Linked DNA regions of Arabidopsis thaliana. The protein of the gene in region 4 interacts with the protein of the main gene of each other region in a pairwise test. Each region holds a gene or a part of one and is shown on either strand. Other genes may lie near its edges.

Region 1 (7,196 bases), on a different chromosome or scaffold from region 4:
GTAAACCAGCTAGGGCTCTCAAAAGGATTTAAGTATAAGCATACATATAGACAACCCTCGGTGCGGTTCAAGAGTGACCGTTCCTTGTAAAGCTCCGGTGAAGCTAGGAGAGATCGAAAGCTCTTGGAGACAAAGGAGAGAATCGGATAATACAATCTTGAGACTCGTGCGATGCAGCTTATTATCAAAGCATCGGGAAGTGACGGATTTGAGTTCGATTCCGGCGCTGGCGAAAACTTTTCCGGGGACGACATTGGATGAGTTTAAGAGACGAAAATGGCTGTTGAACTTGGAGAAAACAAATTTAGGGTTGGACTTTATATATAGAGGGATTAAAACCGGTTAATGCCTTTGGTTAAGGGGAGAACCGGTTATTTGTTTTGTATGTTTTGTTTGGTTAAGCATTGAGTAGTGAGTTGTTGATAGCTTCATTTATGAACAACCAAAAAGGCTCTATTTGTATGCTAATAATGATCACTCGAAATCTCTAGGTATGAAACGATCCTTATAGTTGTGAGATGTGAGTTAGTTTTAAGAATTTATGTATGTATTCTATATTTCTTATTATGATATTGTATATTCAGTTTTTGTAATGTCGGATTTCTTTTATGGTAAAGAATTATGCTTATCAATCAATAAGTGACATAAATTAATTAGAAGTGAAACAAGGGACAAAATCATAGTTTCAAGGCTCGTAACGCATTCATCAAAGAGTAGCAGCAAGAACCTTGACGAATTCATATTGTCTAGGGACTGTAAGCACATGAGCAAACCATTCAACTTTTCCCCATATTTCCAAACTTCCGCGTCTTTCAAGCGCAATCTCCGCACACCAAATCATCTTCTTTCGGCGCCCAGGCAAATAGTCGTCCCACAAAACTGCCATCTTCCCACCATAATCAACCATTCTAAGACAAGCATCAATAGGGAACTTAGGTAATCCTACCATACCCTTCAAGTCTCTCCACTCTCTTTCCTCACTGTGATACCACCATACGGACGTTGAGATATCTCCTTTTACAATAGTGTACCAAACATTCCCTATATTGCGATAACAATCATATAAATACTTATTATGTTCTATGCTTGGTGTAACCAGGTCCCATCTACCTTCCTTGGAATTGTAAGCATCCACACCTTTGTAGCTCACCAGGTGCAATTTTCCGTCAAACCTTACGATTTTGTAGTGAAAGTCGTGTTTTGTCTCGCTGCAAGGGACAGACAAAGGATCCCAAGTTTGTGTATTTGTGTCAAACACTTGGAACGTCATGGAGTCGCCATCTTTGCATCTTCCTGATACATATATCTTTTCATCAAGAACGCAAGCAGTACATGACATTAGCTTCACCCGCAACCTAGGGCCCTCGTGCCACGTGTTAGACGTGCAATACAGAATCTAGACGCTAGAGGAAGGCAATTCATATCCGCCAATGTTGTAGATACTAGAACAAACCGACACAATGCTCGAAGAAGATGACTCAAGAGGAGTATGTGGAAATGGGACTGTAGCCAAAACATACCCACTTGACTTTAGGGTTCCAGTATGTTTACGGAAAAGAGTAAACCACCTCGGTTTCTCATCTTAAGGATTTAACTTTAAGCACACATAGAGACAACTCTCCGTGCGGTCCAAGAGTGATCGGGTCTTGTAAAGCTCCGGTGAAGCTATGAGAGATCGAAAGCTCTTGGAGACGAGGGAGAGAGCCGGATAATACAATCTTGAGACCCGTGCGACGCAGCTCAATATCAAATCATCGGGAAGTGACGGATTAGGGTTCGTTTGCGACTGCATCGTGTACCGCTTCTTCTCCAACTTTGCAGAGAACTTCAAGGATCGGTCTTTATAAAGAAATTTCCAAAACCGGCTCACGTCTTTGCTTAAGGAAAAACCGGTTCAACTTTCCATAGTCAATAGAATCCGAACCGCCAATTGATTTTGATTGTTGACCGGGTTTAGTAGACCGAATTTAGAATAGGTGAACCGTGGCCAGAATTTTGGCGGCCGATACACTTCTTTACCTCAGCCTCACATTACTACTCTCACAAAAGATACACAGAGAGAGAAGAGAAGAGGAAGAAAATGGGATCTATAACGGTAGCTCCGGGAACCACCGTCTTATTCTCCAGTCGGCGGCTAGATCTTTGCGGTCGTCGCCATGAGAATCTATCCGTCGTTTCGTCCTCACAACCGTCTCTGATGCCAAAGCAGAGATGGCTTTATATTCCCGAGACGAGGTTGAAAAGAGAGGTTTTAAAGCTCGATGTCGTCGGAAGAGCTGCTGATTCCACGAGCTCTTCTCCATCAGTAGCTTCCGGTGATAGAACCTTAATTCCTGATGATGAATTCACTTTAGCCAAGGTTTTAAATCCCTAATTAAAGAGTTTCTTCAAATTCATTGTGTTTATATAATTAACTATTCCTGAATCAGTCATTGCCTTGTCCAATTTTGTGAACTGTGTGAGATTTATGGTAAAAGTATAGTGTCTCTCCAAGTAGGTAGATTCGATTATTAGTGGTCTGAAATTGAGAATTAGGAAGGATTTGATGTATGCAACTCATAGTTTATAGGTGGTATTGAATGTGCGTTGGAATAATTTTGGACACTGAAATTTTTTCCATATGTTTTGCATTGCAGATTTCATTTGGTGTTATTGGGCTAGGTCTCGGGGTTTCGCTACTCTCGTGAGTTTTCTCTTGCCTTCTTTGTTGCTATGGGTATATGTGAGGTTTAGCATTATGGATCTGTTTAACAGGTATGGTTTTGGGGCCTATTTTACTATCCTTCCTGGAACTGAGTGGTCTGCTATAATGCTAACATATGGATTTCCCCTTTCTATTATCGGAATGGCTCTTAAGGTATGCTCTTTATGCTCTTTAGTTATCTTTCTCACTATCATGTCCTTGAGAAAGTGGAATGTTTCGGATAACTGTAAAATTACTGAGAAAATTGACTTTTGTATTAGAGTTACTCATTTCTTTCTTTGAGTTTTCGGAATGGTTAATTGTTTTAGTCCCTGAGGATGGGTTTTGCTTCCTTTGCAGTACGCAGAACTCAAACCAGTTCCTTGCTTGAGCTATTCGGATGCGGTGAAGCTTAGAGAAAGCTGTGCTACTCCTATTTTAACGCAGGTACGTAGTGGTTCTGGTTACTCTCGACTGACCGGAGTACCTTCAATCTGATTTTAGTTGTTCTTCAGCTCGTCTTTGTTACATTAATTTCCTAAAACATATTTATGTTTCTGATAAGAGGAAGGGGTGTTAGTAGTTTTCGTCATTAGTATTTCGAAATTCAATCTAAACACTAGCTTGATTTCAGTATCATAGGTTCTTTTGCAGAAAGTCTTGCTCAGTTTAGTTTCCCTATATGACATCACATCGTAGTTTTGTCAGTGCACATAGGATTTTAAATTTACTTCTCGTGAATTGTTAATGTGCCTTCTTCTTTCTTTTATTAGGTTAGAAATGATGTCACGAGATACCGTTATGGAGATGAACAACATTTGGAAGAAGCACTAAAACGAATCTTTCAATATGGGCTGGTAAGCTATTTTGTTGAAACAAAATGAAGCACGAAAACAAAATGAAGCACAACACACGCTTCTTGTACTTCCGCTTTAACCTCTCTTTCTTTCGACTGTTTTGGTCATAAGGGAGGAGGAATCCCGAGACGTAGTGCACCTATCTTACAGCTGATAAGGGAAGAGGTACATTTCTTCACGCGCATGACTTTACATCATATTATTTACATGAATCATCAAAATATATAACTCAATTTTTACTTGCATATGACATGGATATTGACTGGTGAAACTAAACTTAAACGGATCATTTTTGATAACTCATCATGTCTGTAGGTCCTGACCGATGGTCGGTACTGTGTGGTCCTTGTATTTGAGGCCAAAGCTCTGACGTTGTCAGATTTTGAAAAAAGACAGGTAAGAGTTAGATTCATATACTACTAACAAATCAGCTTGGCGCATAAGAAAATAGCTTAAGTAGCGTTGGTTTTATCAAATCTAGTTTTTAAGAAGTAGCAAAACATAAAGCTGGAACTAAGCATAAAAATTTTGTTTTGATAGGCGAAATTCACTTCCTTCTTTGGACCAAACATCACGGCAGAAGTCGGTAAGTAGTGAATCAATTCTCCATTCATGTTTATGAATTTCTTGTTCTCGGTTCTTAAAAAATTATTATTGTTGTTTTGCTTTGAAGGTAAAGGAGAAAGTGAGAATCTCTATGAAGTAAGACTGATTTCCAACCTCTCCACCAACTCTGTATCTTCTACCTCTTGAACATAGACAATCATGTATACGGCGACGTTTTCAGTCAATGTTATTTTGGTCTTGTAAATCAATTCTATATAATTATCCTATGTATAAAAAGTTCATACTATTTACAGAAATGGGAATTGGAACTAGCCTTGTCGAATGGTAATACGGTCGGAAGGGGACAAGCTACGATTGCAACGTGTTCTAGAGTAATTTTGATTTGAGTAAACAAAATACATATACTGTATATTATTCATATCTTGGTGAACAATACAAAATATATTAGTTTGTTTTAAATTACCAAACTAAAGCCTTAAAAAAAGTATCAAATTAAGCACATAAGTTAGAAAAGAAAAATGTGTTGTAAGAAAGAAAAAAGGTTAGGAAAGAAATATGCGACAGAAAAAAGAGTTTTATGGGCTTACAAATAAGAAAAGCCCAAATGGGCCTTGAGTTTGAGCTTTACATAAAATTCATTCTACTAAACTTAAGCAAAATCATTCCTTCTTCTTTCTCTGAAACTTTTGCCTTGCTTGCTTGCCCAGAAAGTCGCCGAGAAAGTTAAAAGTAGAACGGCGGAGGAAAAAAAAACGAAGAGGAAGAGGAGAGATGGAGTCGCAGAAGAAGATAGCTCATGAGATCGGAGGTATGAAGAACGATGCTCTTCGCTTTGGTCTTCACGGCGTTAAGAGCGATATCCTTAGATCTCATCCTCTCGAAACGGCTTACGAATCTGTAATCAATCACTTCACAATCTTTTTTTTTTTTTTTATTGATATTGAGGAATTAGAAAATTAGGCTAATTAAGGAACTTAGGGTGTTGATGAATAAGCTTCGTGTTGATTCAGAAATTTGAGAATTGGGATTTTTTGACGGGGTTTCTGAAATTAGTTTTTTTTTTTCCTTTCTATAAACTTGTTTATTGTGATTTCAGGGGAAGCAATCACAAGAAGAAATGAAGAGGAGAGTGATCACGCATACTTATGGAGCTGCTCTTCCTTTGAAGATGGATCTTGATAGACAAATCCTTTCTCGGTATGGATCTTTAAATCTGTAGCATATGAAATTCTGAATTACACTGATTATTAGGTATGAGAATGTATGAGAATCTTCCTTAGGCTTTATAGAATACTGTTAAGATTGAAATATGGTTTCCTAATGCTAGTAATCTATCTTGATTAGGTCAATTGCTGTTCTGAATTTTGAAATATTGTTAGTACAAATGTGTATATGAATCATCATAATGATTATATCGAAAATTCGGAATCATAATCGTGTAGTGCTACTTAGAATTAGATTTGCAGAACCATAAACGCGTAGTGGATACTCTTAAATTAGTAGCAATATGTAGATTGAATTCAGAACCATAAACGCATAGAGCAGCCTCTTCTTCATTGAATATTTATTGGTGAATTGAATATTTATTGTATATCTTTTTATGTGGAGTATTCAGGTTTCAGAGACCTCCTGGACCAATTCCTTCATCAATGCTTGGCCTTGAAGTCTACACAGGAGCTCTAGATAATTTTGGTTTTGAGGATTACTTGAATGGTAATTGTTTTACACCAGTTTTCCCATTTGGTTGTGCATTAGAGTTTTCTATTCCTACAATCTTTGAGCATTTCTCAAAACATGACCGTCACATACTGCTTGCATTGTGTAACCAAATCATCCTCATCCTTGCATAGAGTTTAACTCTTTGTTTAGCATATAATAGAAAAGTGTCTCAACTTGTTTATTTCGTTTCGCTTACTAGTCTCTACTTTGTAGATTGTTCCACTCCAAAACACCAATAGACAGTGACAAACCTTTGTTCCAGTTAGACTGTCACAAATCATCGAGCATTGCTCAAAAATTGACTGTCACATACTACTTACTTACATTGTGTAACCAAAGTTGAACTTTTGGTTCAGTATATAAGAGAAAAATGTTTAAACTTTTTAATTCTCTTAGTTTCACAATTTATATTGTTCTGACGATGAATGGTGTATAATCTACAGATCCTCGCGAATCCGAGACGCTGAAACCAGTAGACTTTCACCACGGGATGGAAGTTCGGCTTGGTCTCTCCAAAGGCCCAGCTTCCCCAAGTTTCATGTAGTCACCACCATCAAAGTATTTCCTTCGTCAGGTCTCATATGCTTTTTAATCTGAGTAAGATCATGTTATGAATTTCCACCAGCCCTAAAAGAATCTACTTGTTGTTTGATCTCTTCTCTATACTGTGTCTCCTTTGCTCTGAACATGATAAAACATATGAACTGTGTTTCAGTTCTTATCTCTCTCAGTTCACAATTTGTTGGACTTGCTTAGTTATTTAAATAAGATTATGCTCCTATTTCATTATTATGTTACTGACACCAAAACCTTGGATACTAGATTCTATTAGAATAAATAAATTGCATATGGATTAATACTCTAAACAAAACAAAAACAAAAGAACAAAGTAAGATTGTTTTAGTGACTCGGACTGGACTGTTAACATCGGATAAATCTGAAAAAGTAAATAAATAAAAATAAAAACCCTATTCTACGTTTTATTCGTCTGGGAAAACAAAAATTAAATTCGATCCCCAAAATTAATAATTCCGTCTTCACCGAGAAAAAATCCAGAGCTTCTTCTCCTCCGACGCGATGGAGTCTCGTCGGAACCCTCGCGCCGTAGTAGATCCAAAGGTCCGACAAGTCGGTTTCTTCACATCATCTCAACCCGATTCATCAACTCAACAACAACAACCCGACCCGATCGCTGCTACCTCTGCTTCTTCTTCTTCTTCCACCATTTCTCCTTCCGGTAACTCACTCTCCCCCGTCATGATTCCTCCTCCTCGTCTCAATTCCTCTGATACTTTCCCTCTTCGAGTCGCTGTCGCTGGTGCTGCTGCGTCAGCCGTGTCTCCTTCTTCGTTTTCTTACTCAAGTCGCCG
Region 2 (4,854 bases), 5.4 Mb from region 4:
AGGAATTGTAATCCTTCTTTTGTCCCCAACACACATGCCTGTGAAATTTTTAAAACTTGAGAGCAATACACCATTTGAAACAAAGTGATGAAAACCTTTAGGAGGACGAAACTAAGTTACCATTTAAGCCAACATCCCATCCCTTAATGACTTTACCATGACCTGCATGTAACAACAACTTCATAAGTATCACGTACCAATCACATAACTCCATCCCTTAATTGCCATATCACATAAGTATTAAAAGGTGCTTTTCCAATGGTGGAATCGAAGATCTTCCCGTTCTCTTGAAGCTTTCCGATATAGCGGACACTAACCTGCTTGGTCATCTGCTATGTAATGACAATTCTATAAATACCCTGACTTGCGTTTTTTTGTTTCTACCTTGTTTGTCATTATCTAACTCCATCTCCACACCTGACTTATACTCTGGCTCAGCTTTTCTTTGGGAATAGGAAAACAGTCTTTGGCGTGTATTTGCTTAGTTCCATTCGCATTCTCATATTAGGTAGGTTTATCTTCATCTTCTAACTCAACGGTAATTTTTATTTATATATAAATATACCTTCACATTGAACAACTTTTTACATAACATCGTTTAGGCCCTTTTTCTTCGCCCTGTATGTATGTGATGTTTTTTTTATATCCAACTATTTTAGTATCACACACGAACATATACTGTAGTCTACAGCCTACTACATGTATATCTAACCGAATTATCTGTAAAGTAAAATTGTCTTACTTCTTTAAACCTAAACTAAATTCACAAGAACATTAAGAAGAAGAAAAAAAAAAGACTTTGAACTAAAGCAAGAGAGGCTTCTGAAGATCAAACTCTGTTCTAAGCAAACTTTCTTCATCATCTTGTTTCATTTCATCTATTTCTTCACAATCCTCTTTTCCTTTAGCCCACAGAACGAAGTAGAGTCCTCCGAACATCAACGCCATTCCCGCAAAGCTAATTTGACAGAGAAAAACAAACAAGAAAGAAGATAAATGACTTCTCTTTCTGTCTAAAAGATCATACAATGAATGCGAAAAGCTGCAAAAATGTACCTTCCTAGGTTGAAACTCTCTTCCATGGTAAAAGCAGAGACAACAACACATACCACAGTTGCAATTGGACTAAAGAGAGACACAATCACTGGTCCTTTCCTCTTAATCACCCATGCATTGAAGCTTAACCCTCCTCCACTCACCAACCCTCCCTAGAAAAAAAACAAAAACATTTTCAACACATCCAAATGTTGCCAACCATATATGATTTATGACGTACCAGTATTGCGTATCCCACAAGGTGGCCGAGACCGATTACTGATGCACTTCCCATTTCCATACTTCCCTTAAGAGCATACTGCAAAGCTACTGTGGTGATCCCACCCATCAAAGATACCATCGAGAACATTGATATAGGCGCCGGAAACTCGGCTAGTATGGATGCCTAATTAGGACGATCAAAGTGATTTCACAAGCAAAGAATCAGATTAATTAGCACAACCGGATATATGATAGCTCTAGGGCTAAGAAGGGGTATAAGGTGAAACCTGAAGGACAATACTAGAGGACAAGCCGCAAATGGCAAGGAGGAGATAGAGGCAACCTAAGATCTTGTCCTTGTCCACAACGACTTCGTCAGGGACAATAGGTATAGTCTTAACCGAGCTTAAAGTAGCGGTAGTACTGTGCATTAAGCTCATAATGAGAGCTCCCATCACACACAACACTGTCCCTCCCATCTTAACTCTACTATACATACAACTTAGCTTCACTTTCTCCATCCTTAACAATTACAATTTATTCAAATAACACATTAATGAAAGCTCTAATCTTCAAACACTAAACAGATTAGATTAACACAAAAGTAAAAGATTTACCCAGCAGCCCAAGCAATGACAAAAATGAAAGCAGGGCAGAGATTAGGCATAGCTGTAGCCATTGAAGCAGAGGTGTGTTTCATTCCTTCCAAGAATAACCCCTGGAACAGAGTCACTCTGTTTCAAACACAACTTCTCTCTTAATTAATCCCTTGTTATGAATTTTTAATTCTTCTCCTTCTCTTTAACGTATAGAAGAAGCAAGGTAAGCATCTATTAATCAAAACATGCAGAAATAAATAAAAAGAGGAGTTTTTACCCAGCAAGAGCAACCAAAACTAGTTTTATCTTCAACTTGAAACTTAGACTTCTAGGCCAAAGCTTCCTACAAATACACACCACAAAAATCCAAATTTTTATTAGAAAAAGAATGTAGAATAAAGTTCGAAACAGAGATTTTGTAAATTAAAAGAAAGAAGAAGATACCTTTCAAGGAGAAAAGCGAGAGGGGTGATGAGAAGAACTGATGCAAAGGTGCATAAGATAACGATAAGAAGTGGGTCAATTCCGAGAGACAGCAACTGACTCAGTAGCTCCGAGTTTCCGGCGTAAATCACCTGAGCTCCGGCCAATCCTCCGATTATTCCTGCTTCTATTAACGTCTCTCTCTTCATCATTTTTTCAACACAAAAAAAACACGAAGAAAATAAAAAGAATAATAACGGACAAATCAGTTGGAACCCATTTGGTAACCGAACAGAAGGATTCGATTTTGTGGGGGAACTAAAAAAGCAGAGAAACACTAATTAAGTTTTTGGTTTTGTTGTTGTTGATAAATGAAAATAGAAAAGATGCTTTGTTTGTGATCTCTCTTTTTGGTAATGTGTAATGCTTGAAGTTGAAACTTTCTCTATCTTTCACTTCTTGCTTTTAAAGACATGTGTCCATTACATTGCATTGGTTTTATTATGGAGTGTCTCGCCATTATAGCTTTTTGGGGAAGCGCAGATTTTAATTTATTTTTAGTCTAAAACGGTGATTATTTTTATAACACATAGAGTCCTCAAATTTTGGTGCAATGGATTTAATATGTATGAAATAAGACAAAACAAAAATTTGAGAGCGGTTAGCTTAATTTGTTAAGAAATAAATATTTCGGTGAGTCTGATATTTCTTAAATAGAACAAATAAATAAATAAATAAAATTCGCCAAATCGGCTAGGCAAAAATTTAAGATTATTCAAATTGTCAAGATTTTTATTTGGGAAGTTGCCACTATATTAATAAAATTTGGAATATAAAACCATAGTTTTGATTGGTAAAATAACGTAATAAAAATAGCAAAATTATAAAACAAGATTCTATTTATTTAAGACTAAAGAATAATATGTTTATTTTGTCAGTAAAGTCATTTAAAAAAAGGTGGAATGATCGATCATAAATCGCCCTCACACAAATTTATGTTAAAGATGAAATTCTGTACTACAGTGAAGTTTAAAAACATGCAGAGTATGAAAAAGAAAGATAAACCAAAAAGAAAGGAGAAGAAGGAAAAAAAGACAGATGCAATAAACTCCGTCAGATTCGGGGACCTTGGCCTTTTCTCGGGGGAGTAACAAAAATATTTATCAGTGTTCTTCTTTTGTTTGTATTCTTATTTTTGGATATATAATACGACATCTTACCATCTTCTCCTTTATTCGTTTTACGTATCTGACTATCTGTTCACTCTTTACTTCCTTCTTTTTTTCTTGCATGCAAATATGGAATGTCTTCATATTTGTATTTGTCACAGTCTCACAGATAAATCATATGTGTATGCCATGTGCCTACCTACCTATAATCATTTTTATTGGTAAAAAAAGCTTCCTATTCTAATATCCTTGTTAATGCTAATGAGATGGTTTAGTGATCTGTTTTCATACCGAAATGTTTTAGTTATTTAACCCAAAACACCAAAGGATGGTTTAGTGATTCGTTTTCACACCGAAATAGTTTTATGATCAAAATATTTTCTAGGGATCAGTTTTAACTAGAAAACTAGACTAGAGTCTATAACGAATTAGTTATTTTATAATAAATGATGTGCCTATGAAAGATTTTTAATTGGAGATGTATAATATTGGAGATGTTGTGTGGAGTGTAAAATATGGTAGGTGAAGCGTAAGATAAGAAAAAATGAGGAGTGTAAGAAAGAAAAGAGCAAAAGTGGGGATGCTTACACGTCAACAATCCTCAGTCTCTTTTCCAATGACTTGTGAAGCGTGTTATCGTCTCTCTTTTCTCCCCCTCTTTTTTTCCCAACAAATATAATATGCGATCTATCTAAATATATTAAGTTAAGAGTTTAATCTTTATCCACATACATTTTTTTCTTTTGTAACATCTGTTATCCATATCATGAAAATTTAATGCGTTTAAAAGCTTAGAAACATTTCACGCTGACCAAAAAAAAGAAAAGTTCACGCTCAAAACACTTAAGACTTAGTTTTATAGACCCTAACTAGTATCAAAACCCCTTGGTGTGAAATAAAAGGCATCTTGAATATGCAGAAACTCATATTAGCTCCTAAACCGGTTCAAAACATTCTAATGACTAATGAGTTGTGCCACGTACGAACAGACAAAAGGTTACAGTCTCAAGTTCTGAAGTCTGTGAACATACATAGTCTTCTCACGTGCCCACGCGTCTACAACTACAACCGTCGCCAACTCACGTGACTTTTTACCTCTTCTTTTTTTTTTTAATTTTTTTTTAAACCACTTTTTGCTTCTTCATACTACGAATAATCATGGTAAAGCTTTATGAAAGATTATAAAAACCATAGGACAAAGAAAACAAAATTTCGAACATCTTAACCAGTTTTGTTCTAAATTATGATATTACAACAATAATTTAAATTGTTTAAACCCTTCTCAATGAAATGTCCTTCTTCTCGTGGGATTGTCCTTCGATATCTTCTCAAAAATGCTTTTTCCTTTTACCTACGCTTATATCTGCACGATAAAAGTAGAAAATACCGAGTTAAACCAACAAATT
Region 3 (4,460 bases), on a different chromosome or scaffold from region 4:
ACCTTTGTTTTTTTTTAAAACAAAATTTCAATAGAGGTTTTGTCGATTAATATCAAAAAGAAATAATTTAAACTTGAATGTATTATACAGTAGAAACATCATTAAATAGCATTCAAAATGAATAAAATTTGTAACAGTTAGTTCTTGTGTTAGTTTATGTATAGAAATTTTAGCGAAGTATAGTTGTTGACCCAAAAAAAATGTAGGAACATATATAGTTTTCTTTGGTCCCAAAACGAGTTTATTTTTTGTTCTTCAGTGTTGAACACTATTTTGCTCGAACATGTCTGGTCAACGTCCGACCAGCCAATTCCACTTCATAGTTTGCATATTAACGAACTTCCATCTTTTTGCTGATTACAGCTTTCATTATACCGTTTAGATTTTTCTTTTTTTGCCTAAATAAAAAAATATGACCCTAAACATTCGTAATTAATAGAAAACATTAAATAAGTACGATACAAAAGACTGAATCTCTATAATAATAGATTGAGACCATATTCTTGTGAGATAAATAAAAGATTGAGACCATATTCTTGTGACAATTGGTATACAATTAGGTTACAAATATTCTAATCCAAATTTAATTTCGAGAACATAATCGTGTGAGTAACGATAAACAATTTCATTTTGTTTACAAAGATATATGATATATTGCACTTTTTAAAATCTAATATGCTTACTTTTTTGAGCTGTCATTAATCCCCAAACTCCACTTTGGGATTTTTTTAAAAAGTCTAATTCAACGCGTGGGGCACACCGTGTGTAAACTTCGACTTTGAAAAGTTATAAACAGAAAATGATGTTTTTTAAAAAAACAGGGAAAAAAAGAGAAGTTTCTATTTGAAATAGGTTCAAAACCCACTGGCCAAGTACTTTGTTAGTGGCATGTTTATCATGAGAATATATTTGACCCGTCCCTTGTTTCAGTTTTGCTATTACGTTCCGTGTCAGTTAATTTAAAACTCTAATCATATCTTATTTGATTAAAGAATATAGTGATGATGAAAAGTTATATTTTGTGTACTTGAATGTTTGAGTTGGGCCTCGTCTATCATATGGCAATATCTCCTTTAAGTGTGTGAACGTAAATTACCAATTTCAAGGTCCTCCTCTTAACGTAAATTATCCCAGCTCTCAGGGTTTTTCAGCAAGGGAATAATATAACAATCTAATTAGTCAAAAATTGGATCAAGTGCTAGTAAATTATGCTTGGTTTACTAATCTTTCCTCATTCTTTTTTCCCCATTTTGATTTATGAGGATCACGTTTAATGTAAGGTTTAAATTTCTCAAACCAGAGCTGGTTGTCATCGTTTAAATGAATCTATATGCATGTATTCTATTCCATTAGAAATTATACACACGTAGTTAACTGTAATTAGCTATAGTTAAATCCGTACACACCGTTTTTTCCAGTTTGAATCAGTATAGTGATACATGATATAAGTATATAACATGCGTATAATCAACATACATGATTTAGACAAAATATATTATTATTCTAATTTTTGTCATATAGATTTTGATTCACATTATAAACTGTATATATTGACAAGAAAAAAAAAACATTTGACAAAAGAAGAAAATAATAAACATTTTTTGAAATCATGATTTTGAGGTGATAGTCTATTTATACTAATACTAATGATACTATGTGTCAATGCATCACTAATACATCTTCAGATTGAGTAGAAACCGTGTATATGGATTTAACTCTAGTTAAACAACAAGAACATACAAATTTGAATGTAATAAGCGTGTAACCATTTGACTTGAAAATAAAATACATATGACCAAATTGAAAATAATAATATTAAAATCCAGTGCAACGAAAAAAATAATATGTTAAAACAATAAAACCCACTCACTACTTTCTCTATATAAAGCCAAATGCTTCAACCAATCTTCTTCACACCTACAAATCTTCTTCTTCTCTCTCTCTCCCTCTTCCTCTGTCACACAGATATTGACAAAAACAAAAAGAATGAGTCAATCAAATCGTGTCAGAGACGAAGTTACATTACCTTTACTCCAAAAAACCTCTCATCTGAAAAATCACTCCTCTGTTCTCTCTGTTTTCCTAAATGAAGCAATCTCAATCTGCAAAATCTCTTACCCATTGGTCCTCACTGGTCTCTTCCTCTACGTTCGCTCCTTCGTCTCTCTGTCTTTCCTCGGTGGTCTCGGTGACGCCACTCTCGCCGGTGGCTCCCTCGCCGCCGCATTTGCAAACATCACCGGATACTCTCTTTTCTCCGGTTTAACCATGGGCGTTGAGTCTATCTGTTCACAAGCCTTTGGAGCCAGACGCTATAACTACGTCTGCGCGAGTGTCAAGAGAGGAATCATCCTCCTTCTCGTCACTTCTCTCCCTGTTACACTTCTTTGGATGAATATGGAGAAGATTCTTCTAATCTTGAAACAGGACAAGAAGCTCGCGTCCGAAGCGCACATCTTTTTGCTTTACTCTGTTCCAGATCTTGTCGCTCAATCTTTCTTACACCCATTAAGAGTTTATCTTCGGACTCAGTCAAAGACTCTTCCTTTATCAATCTGTACAGTGATCGCGAGTTTTCTTCACTTGCCAATCACGTTCTTCCTTGTAAGTTACCTCGGTTTGGGGATTAAAGGAATCGCTTTGAGTGGTGTTGTGTCTAATTTCAACCTTGTCGCTTTCCTCTTTCTCTACATCTGTTTCTTCGAAGACAAGCTAAGTGTTAATGAGGACGAGAAGATAACAGAGGAGACATGTGAAGATAGTGTGAGAGAATGGAAGAAACTACTCTGTCTTGCGATACCAAGTTGTATATCGGTTTGTCTTGAGTGGTGGTGCTATGAGATTATGATTTTGCTTTGTGGGTTTCTCTTAGACCCTAAAGCAAGTGTTGCTTCAATGGGAATTCTCATCCAAATCACTTCTCTTGTGTACATTTTCCCTCATTCCTTGAGTTTAGGAGTCTCCACCCGGGTCGGAAACGAGCTTGGTTCTAACCAGCCAAAAAGAGCGAGAAGAGCAGCCATTGTTGGACTTGGTCTCAGCATCGCCCTAGGGTTTACGGCTTTCGCGTTTACTGTCTCGGTTAGAAACACATGGGCGATGTTTTTCACTGATGACAAAGAAATCATGAAGTTGACTGCCATGGCTCTGCCAATCGTTGGTCTATGTGAGCTCGGGAACTGCCCGCAAACTACGGGATGCGGTGTTCTCAGAGGCTCCGCGAGGCCGAAGATCGGAGCTAATATTAATGGAGTGGCGTTTTACGCGGTTGGCATTCCGGTTGGAGCAGTTTTGGCGTTTTGGTTTGGGTTTGGATTTAAGGGACTTTGGCTTGGGATGCTTGCGGCGCAGATCACGTGTGTGATTGGTATGATGGCGGCGACGTGTAGGACCGATTGGGAACTTGAGGCGGAAAGGGCTAAGGTGCTCACAACGGCGGTGGATTGTGGCAGTAGTGACGACGACGCCAAGGAGGATATGGAGGCTGGGATGGTTGATAAGTAGGGAGGAATGAGTCATGAGGAGGTCTTTAACAAAAACAAATTGACTTTGTTTTGAATTAGTTGATAACTTTTTTCTTTTATTGAGAAGAGATTCGTTGGAGGATTAATGTAAATTTTGTAGTGTAATGATAACACAATCTAGAGATTCGTCGTTGTATTCAAGGTTTTTAAATTCATAAGGTCAAATTTTGCTCAAATCGCTTAAACCTTTCTTTATTCGACAGAATTCAGTTACATTGTATGTTTTGTTTAGTGTAACGATTTTTTTGGACGCAGAATAAATCTTGAGAAAATAAATAAACTAACCATTGACCTTACTGAAGAAAATCAATAACCATGGGATTGTGGGTGTCTTTGTTAATTCAATCAATATAACAAACTAAAGTAGCACATGCGGACGAAATGTAAAAATAATGGGGGATTTTTTTTTTTAATATGCATAAATAATTATATAACTATATTTAAATAACTGCAAATAAGGTGTGTACAAGGAATTAAATTCACATATGTATTATAACCATAGTCGACAATTTCAAATATACATGTTTGATTAATTAGCTTCTAGTGATGCTTCGAGGCAAAGTATATCCCTCTATGTGATAGATCATTTACACATCAATTTCTTCCGTGGTAAAATAAAATAGATAAAACCTTTGCGATTATTAAAAAAGCCATAACTATGGGATCATGGTTAGTTTGTGTTTTCTTTTACTTTGGAAACTCCTGATTTAAATAGAAAAACATTTAACATAAAAGAAAAAGCCTTTATTTACACACAGAAGTTTAGCCAATCACTTACTTCTTTCCAAATGCTGCTCACAAAAATAAGTTTTTTCATATTTTCATTAGGATAACGTCAAAAATATCATTTATTTATTTAATAAATCTTTTATCGCTAATTTTATTTTCTATTTTTTATCTTTTTAATATCGTTTATCGTTACATATAATAACTTTA
Region 4 (4,433 bases):
TTCGTTATTTTGTATTTCAGCTCATTTAGAATATTTCAATATATATTTTAATAAAATTGTTTTTGAAATTGAATTGGTTAGGTGAGGAATGAATGATGATCAAAAGAAGCACGAGAAGGATATGAGAAAAATTTATTACCTTACTTTTCCCAATGGGACTAGTCGATTTTTAATGATTTAGACAGGAAGTTGTATCATTTTTTAGCATTTATCTGTGCTTCGAAGTTCATGGTTGATAAATGGTATGATCAAATTCCATCTTGAGAGACTGTGACATGCACCTTTCTTTTGTCCAGAGACTTCTAGATTCGAAAATTATTAGACATTTTTCTTTCTTCATAAATCTTTTTCACCATTATCATATGTCTATATGATACGACCTAATATTAAGATTTTTTACTTAGCTTAGAATTGACCTAAATTGGTACTTTTGGGCTGTGACACTATTAGTGATGAAAGAAATTGAGACGTCAACTATAATGCGCATTTTAAAAGAAAGTAAGACAATGATTGGAACAAATGACTTGCCAAGTAAGTGAAAGAGGACAAAGAATGTTTTGTTCCAAAACAAATATCTGAGAGACAAACAAACACTGGAGATATCATTGAGCACAAACACGCATTGGTTTCCTTTAGGTACACGTCTAAAGTTTAACGAAACGTCGTAGCTTCAAGTTTTACAAATTGATCTTACAAATTTACAGGTTCCTATATGTTCCCTGAGGATTAAGAGAGAGTAATAAATCAGGCTTTGTCCTTCATTTGAATCTTGACAAAGTCTTTTAATCTCTCCTCCTTCCCTCGAAGGATGTTGAATCATGTAGCATCTAACGAGTGTGTAACCCAATACGCAAGAATCTGTGAAAAAACCTGCAAGATACACGAAAAGGATGTAATGTTTAAAGATTGTTTTAGAAAACTTGGAGTTCTGATTTAGAATCTAAAATATCATTTACCTGTCAATGTTTCTTGAGAGTTTCTGAAACCGCGGTTTTAAGTTCTCAAGATGAATACTGCAAGGGTATAAACAAGGAATTTGATTCAGTTATAGAGAGTAGAGACTGTCATGGAACAGTGGTGTGACATAACTCATGAGAACCAAGAGAAGGACTCACATAGAAGAATCAAGATTAGCGTTAAGGAAAGAATGAGCTTAATAGGGCGGCTCAATGGAACGCGAAATCGTCTTTGATAAACCTTGACTCTGTCAAAGAGCTGCAAAATGATAAACAACTAAGACTTATGATCCTTTCTAATAGTGTAGAGATGATCCAAACTGCAGAAGCTTACCTGGTTATAATCACGACATCTCTGCAGCCAAAACATAGGTTTAGCTCCTTTCTCTTTAGGAGTGTCTTCAATATGTGATAGGAACTTCTCCCTCTCTTCTTCTTTTGCATTAACAGGGACATTAATCCTCAACGCACTGATATTTGGTACATTTGGTGAACTCCATGTTCTTCTTGTACCGCCTTTTTTATCTGCACTTTCCGGACTTCCTATGTCGTCAATGTCTATCACACAATCAGGACTGTCGCCATAACATCTACCCTCTCTTCTGCCATTGATCCCACGTGGATTCTCAGCTACAGAACTCGTTGAGGAATCTCTCAAGTTGATGCTATCACTGTTTAAACTCTCTGACGTCTGAGAAGATCCAGATAGAAACATGGCGAGATCATCACGCTCTTCTTTGTTAAGATCCACCCAACGCAAAGGTTGTTTCCCATTCTCGCTTAACGACTCTAGCAGAGTAGATTCCACTTGATAAATCTGGTTTTCAATAGCGGTAACAAACTGTTTATGCCTAGTTAAGGTAGTGTCATCTCGACAATTTCCATGGCTTAAGCTCACTGCCCTCTCAAACTCTTCCAACTGATTCAAGTCACAACAATATAACCAATATCACTAACACACTCATGAGTAACCATGAAAAAAAAAGGGAATGATCAAAGGACCATTGATTGTTTCATACCTGCCATTTAGCAGTGCTCAAAGCAGCTTGGAGTTCTTTGCAGAGCTCGTCTGATTCTACGGATACTCGACCGTCTCTCTTCTCTTTAAACCACAACCTATACGCAGATTCCATTCTGGAAATACAACACAAATAAGAAACAAAATTTCAAATTTGATAACTCAATTCCTTCACAAAACACAAAGGTTCTCACTTAGACCATTCTAGAGCCAATTAGTCCCCTAAACAATCGAAATACCCTATTTTTCAATTGAAATTCCGAATTCCACCATCACAAGCAACATGAGTCAATTAAACAAACAGAGAATCAAAAAACACATACATATCAGCAGATTCTTGAACCTCCTCAGCTGCAGAGAAAAAAACATCCTTTTGCCATAGATCGAAACTATTCGCTACCATCATCTTCGAAACCACACCTAAACCCTTCAAATTAAAGACCAAAAAATCAACCCGAAAAGATTCGTCGGAATAGATTCTCTCTCCGATTATAATCCAAAATTAGATTCTGCTTCCTTCTCTTCTCTTCTCTTCTCTTCCTTTTTTGCCTTCAGGAGGAAAGAAGGAATTTTTATTTTTTCTTCCTCCAGCTTTCTGTTTTTATTTTTTATTCCTTAAATTCTTCGATATTTCTTTGCTTTCTTCACTTTAAACGTTAATGGAAGATTTTAATAAAGAGGCCTCTCTGAACTAAATTGACCATATTTCACACGTGTTTTATTGTAATTGGGAAATAATTTAAAGTAAGATGGTCTTAGCTGCAGGAGATTACCGCTTGTCAAAGAAAAACATCAAGAATGTCCGTGTTGTTGTTGGGCCTACCGGTTTGCCGCAACATCAATTGTTCGCCAACCGCATTATATTATTATTATTATTCTTTATTTTAATACTCTCTATACAAGTCAAATGCTAATGAGTAAATAAATTCAATAAAAACTCAACGCTAATTTTAACTTTTAGTTTAGTAATAGACAGTAGGAGCAGGACAAATTGAGGTGGCATGTGTAGCGCATGTGATATCAAAATTTTAACTAGTTAAATTGAAATTCATAAAATGAAAACATGTTTTGGTGTTTTCAGTTTTGGAGAGACATGTTTTGTTAAATAAATTTAATTAATTAGTTGTTGTGATATGGTGAAATACCACCTTCTTCAACAAATCCCAACCTTGATTTTGGTGTTTTCAGTTTTAATTAGTTACCAAGACCTGTTTTTGTTCTTATTTAGACATTAACCGGTGGTAGATTCTAGAGATTGGGCCCATAATATATATATATATTTTTTTTGATCAAAAAGATTGGGCCCATAATATAAAACAACTTTTTTCTGATGCAAATCTCTTTGGGTAGGATTGGGCTTCACTACTACAATATGTCAAAAATCAGCGGTCAATATTATATTTAGAAAAAAAAAAAGAACGGATGGATTTTTCAGGTCACTTCTAGTTTGAAGTCAAGTGTTTGATGTGATGATTCTTTAAATGTCACTTCTCGAGTAAATTGTTTTCTTGAACTATAAATTTTGAAATTTACAGGTTTCACATATAACCTGTATAAAAAAGGGTGTGACACTAACCAATTTACAACACCCAAAGTCCAAACGCCAATTCTCTTTTATCTCTTCAAAACAAACGTAACCGACACGAAAATTTGAGACAACATATACAACAACAAAGTGGCAATTTCTGCAGCATTAGTAGATACAAAAGCCAGTTTAGTCTCAACTCTCATGTAGCAAATCTCAGAAGGTTAACTTTGGACAGTGCCTACTTTTGACTTAAGAGTAAACCAAAATGGATAACGTTATATTATATGGTAACTAATCATATATTATAATAATTTTGACTAAACAAAACGGATAATTAAAAACACACAAGAACCACCATTAGATGATGATCCTAGGATAAACAGTCTCTTATCATTCACTTCTCCTTCTCATCTTCTTCTTCTTCCTCCTCTCGAAACCCACAAACCTCTCTGTTTCTTCTATTAGGACTATCCAAAGCTCTCTTCTCTTGTTCTTCCTCTGCTTCTTCTTCTTCTTCTTGACCTTCCTGTTTCTTCTTCTTCAATCCAACACTCTTCCTTCTCTTCACAACTCTCTCCTTCAACACACTCACAATCTCCCTCACCGCCTTCTCCGCATCACTCCTATTCCTAATCAACACTTCACTAACATCAGCCGGAGTAATCTCTGCTTCCTCCACACATTCTTCCATCTCCTTCAAAACAACACTATCCATATCTTCTTCCTCAAGCCTCAGATAATTCTTCAACAGAATCTTCAAAGCCGGAAACTTACAAAAACCCATGTGAACATGCATATCCATCCTCCCACTTCTCATCAGAGCAGAATCTAACTTCTCTATATGATTTGTCGTGAACACAAATATCTTCTCACTCCCACAACAAGACCAAAGCCCATCTGTGAAGTTCAATAGCCCCGACAGAGTCACCGA

What was found.
Region 1: the proteins of AT4G30240 (region 4) and APE1 interact in a protein complementation assay, tested with the Arabidopsis thaliana proteins (one large-scale study listed by BioGRID).
Region 2: the proteins of AT4G30240 (region 4) and UMAMIT8 interact in a protein complementation assay, tested with the Arabidopsis thaliana proteins (one large-scale study listed by BioGRID).
Region 3: the proteins of AT4G30240 (region 4) and AT5G52050 interact in a protein complementation assay, tested with the Arabidopsis thaliana proteins (one large-scale study listed by BioGRID).

The regions. Positions count from the first base shown.
Region 1 is NC_003076.8:15,470,382-15,477,577, reverse strand, and holds APE1 (acclimation of photosynthesis to environment), read left to right. Parts: upstream 1-1,992; 5' UTR 1,993-2,080; coding exon 2,081-2,359; intron 2,360-2,636; coding exon 2,637-2,683; intron 2,684-2,754; coding exon 2,755-2,857; intron 2,858-3,043; coding exon 3,044-3,130; intron 3,131-3,456; coding exon 3,457-3,540; intron 3,541-3,651; coding exon 3,652-3,705; intron 3,706-3,855; coding exon 3,856-3,936; intron 3,937-4,080; coding exon 4,081-4,122; coding exon of another isoform or gene 4,123-4,126; intron 4,127-4,213; coding exon 4,214-4,242; coding exon of another isoform or gene 4,243-4,293; exon of another isoform or gene 4,294-4,469; intron 4,470-4,762; exon of another isoform or gene 4,763-4,814; coding exon 4,815-5,004; intron 5,005-5,203; coding exon 5,204-5,304; intron 5,305-5,722; coding exon 5,723-5,820; intron 5,821-6,269; coding exon 6,270-6,370; 3' UTR 6,371-6,678; downstream 6,679-7,196. Other genes in the region: AT5G38680 (Galactose oxidase/kelch repeat superfamily protein), read right to left, coding at 1-254; AT5G38670 (Galactose oxidase/kelch repeat superfamily protein), read right to left, coding at 707-1,396, 1,607-1,792; AT5G38650 (Proteasome maturation factor UMP1), read left to right, coding at 4,879-5,004, 5,204-5,304, 5,723-5,820, 6,270-6,370; AT5G38640 (NagB/RpiA/CoA transferase-like superfamily protein), read left to right, coding at 6,904-7,196.
Region 2 is NC_003075.7:9,357,381-9,362,234, forward strand, and holds UMAMIT8 (nodulin MtN21 /EamA-like transporter family protein), read right to left. Parts: upstream 2,860-4,854; 5' UTR 2,492-2,859; coding exon 2,301-2,491; intron 2,200-2,300; coding exon 2,134-2,199; intron 2,092-2,133; exon of another isoform or gene 1,992-2,091; coding exon 1,875-1,991; intron 1,780-1,874; coding exon 1,545-1,779; intron 1,442-1,544; coding exon 1,277-1,441; coding exon of another isoform or gene 1,232-1,276; exon of another isoform or gene 1,209-1,231; coding exon 1,057-1,208; intron 959-1,056; coding exon 805-958; 3' UTR 526-804; downstream 1-525. Other genes in the region: AT4G16630 (DEA(D/H)-box RNA helicase family protein), read right to left, coding at 4,796-4,811.
Region 3 is NC_003076.8:21,136,947-21,141,406, forward strand, and holds AT5G52050 (MATE efflux family protein), read left to right. Parts: upstream 1-1,756; 5' UTR 1,757-1,986; coding exon 1,987-3,504; 3' UTR 3,505-3,930; downstream 3,931-4,460.
Region 4 is NC_003075.7:14,807,366-14,811,798, forward strand, and holds AT4G30240 (Syntaxin/t-SNARE family protein), read right to left. Parts: upstream 2,711-4,433; 5' UTR 2,381-2,710; coding exon 2,298-2,380; intron 2,091-2,297; coding exon 1,976-2,090; intron 1,876-1,975; coding exon 1,291-1,875; intron 1,216-1,290; coding exon 1,116-1,215; intron 1,014-1,115; coding exon 994-1,013; 3' UTR 957-993; intron 871-956; 3' UTR 524-870; downstream 1-523. Other genes in the region: AT4G30250 (P-loop containing nucleoside triphosphate hydrolases superfamily protein), read right to left, coding at 3,897-4,433.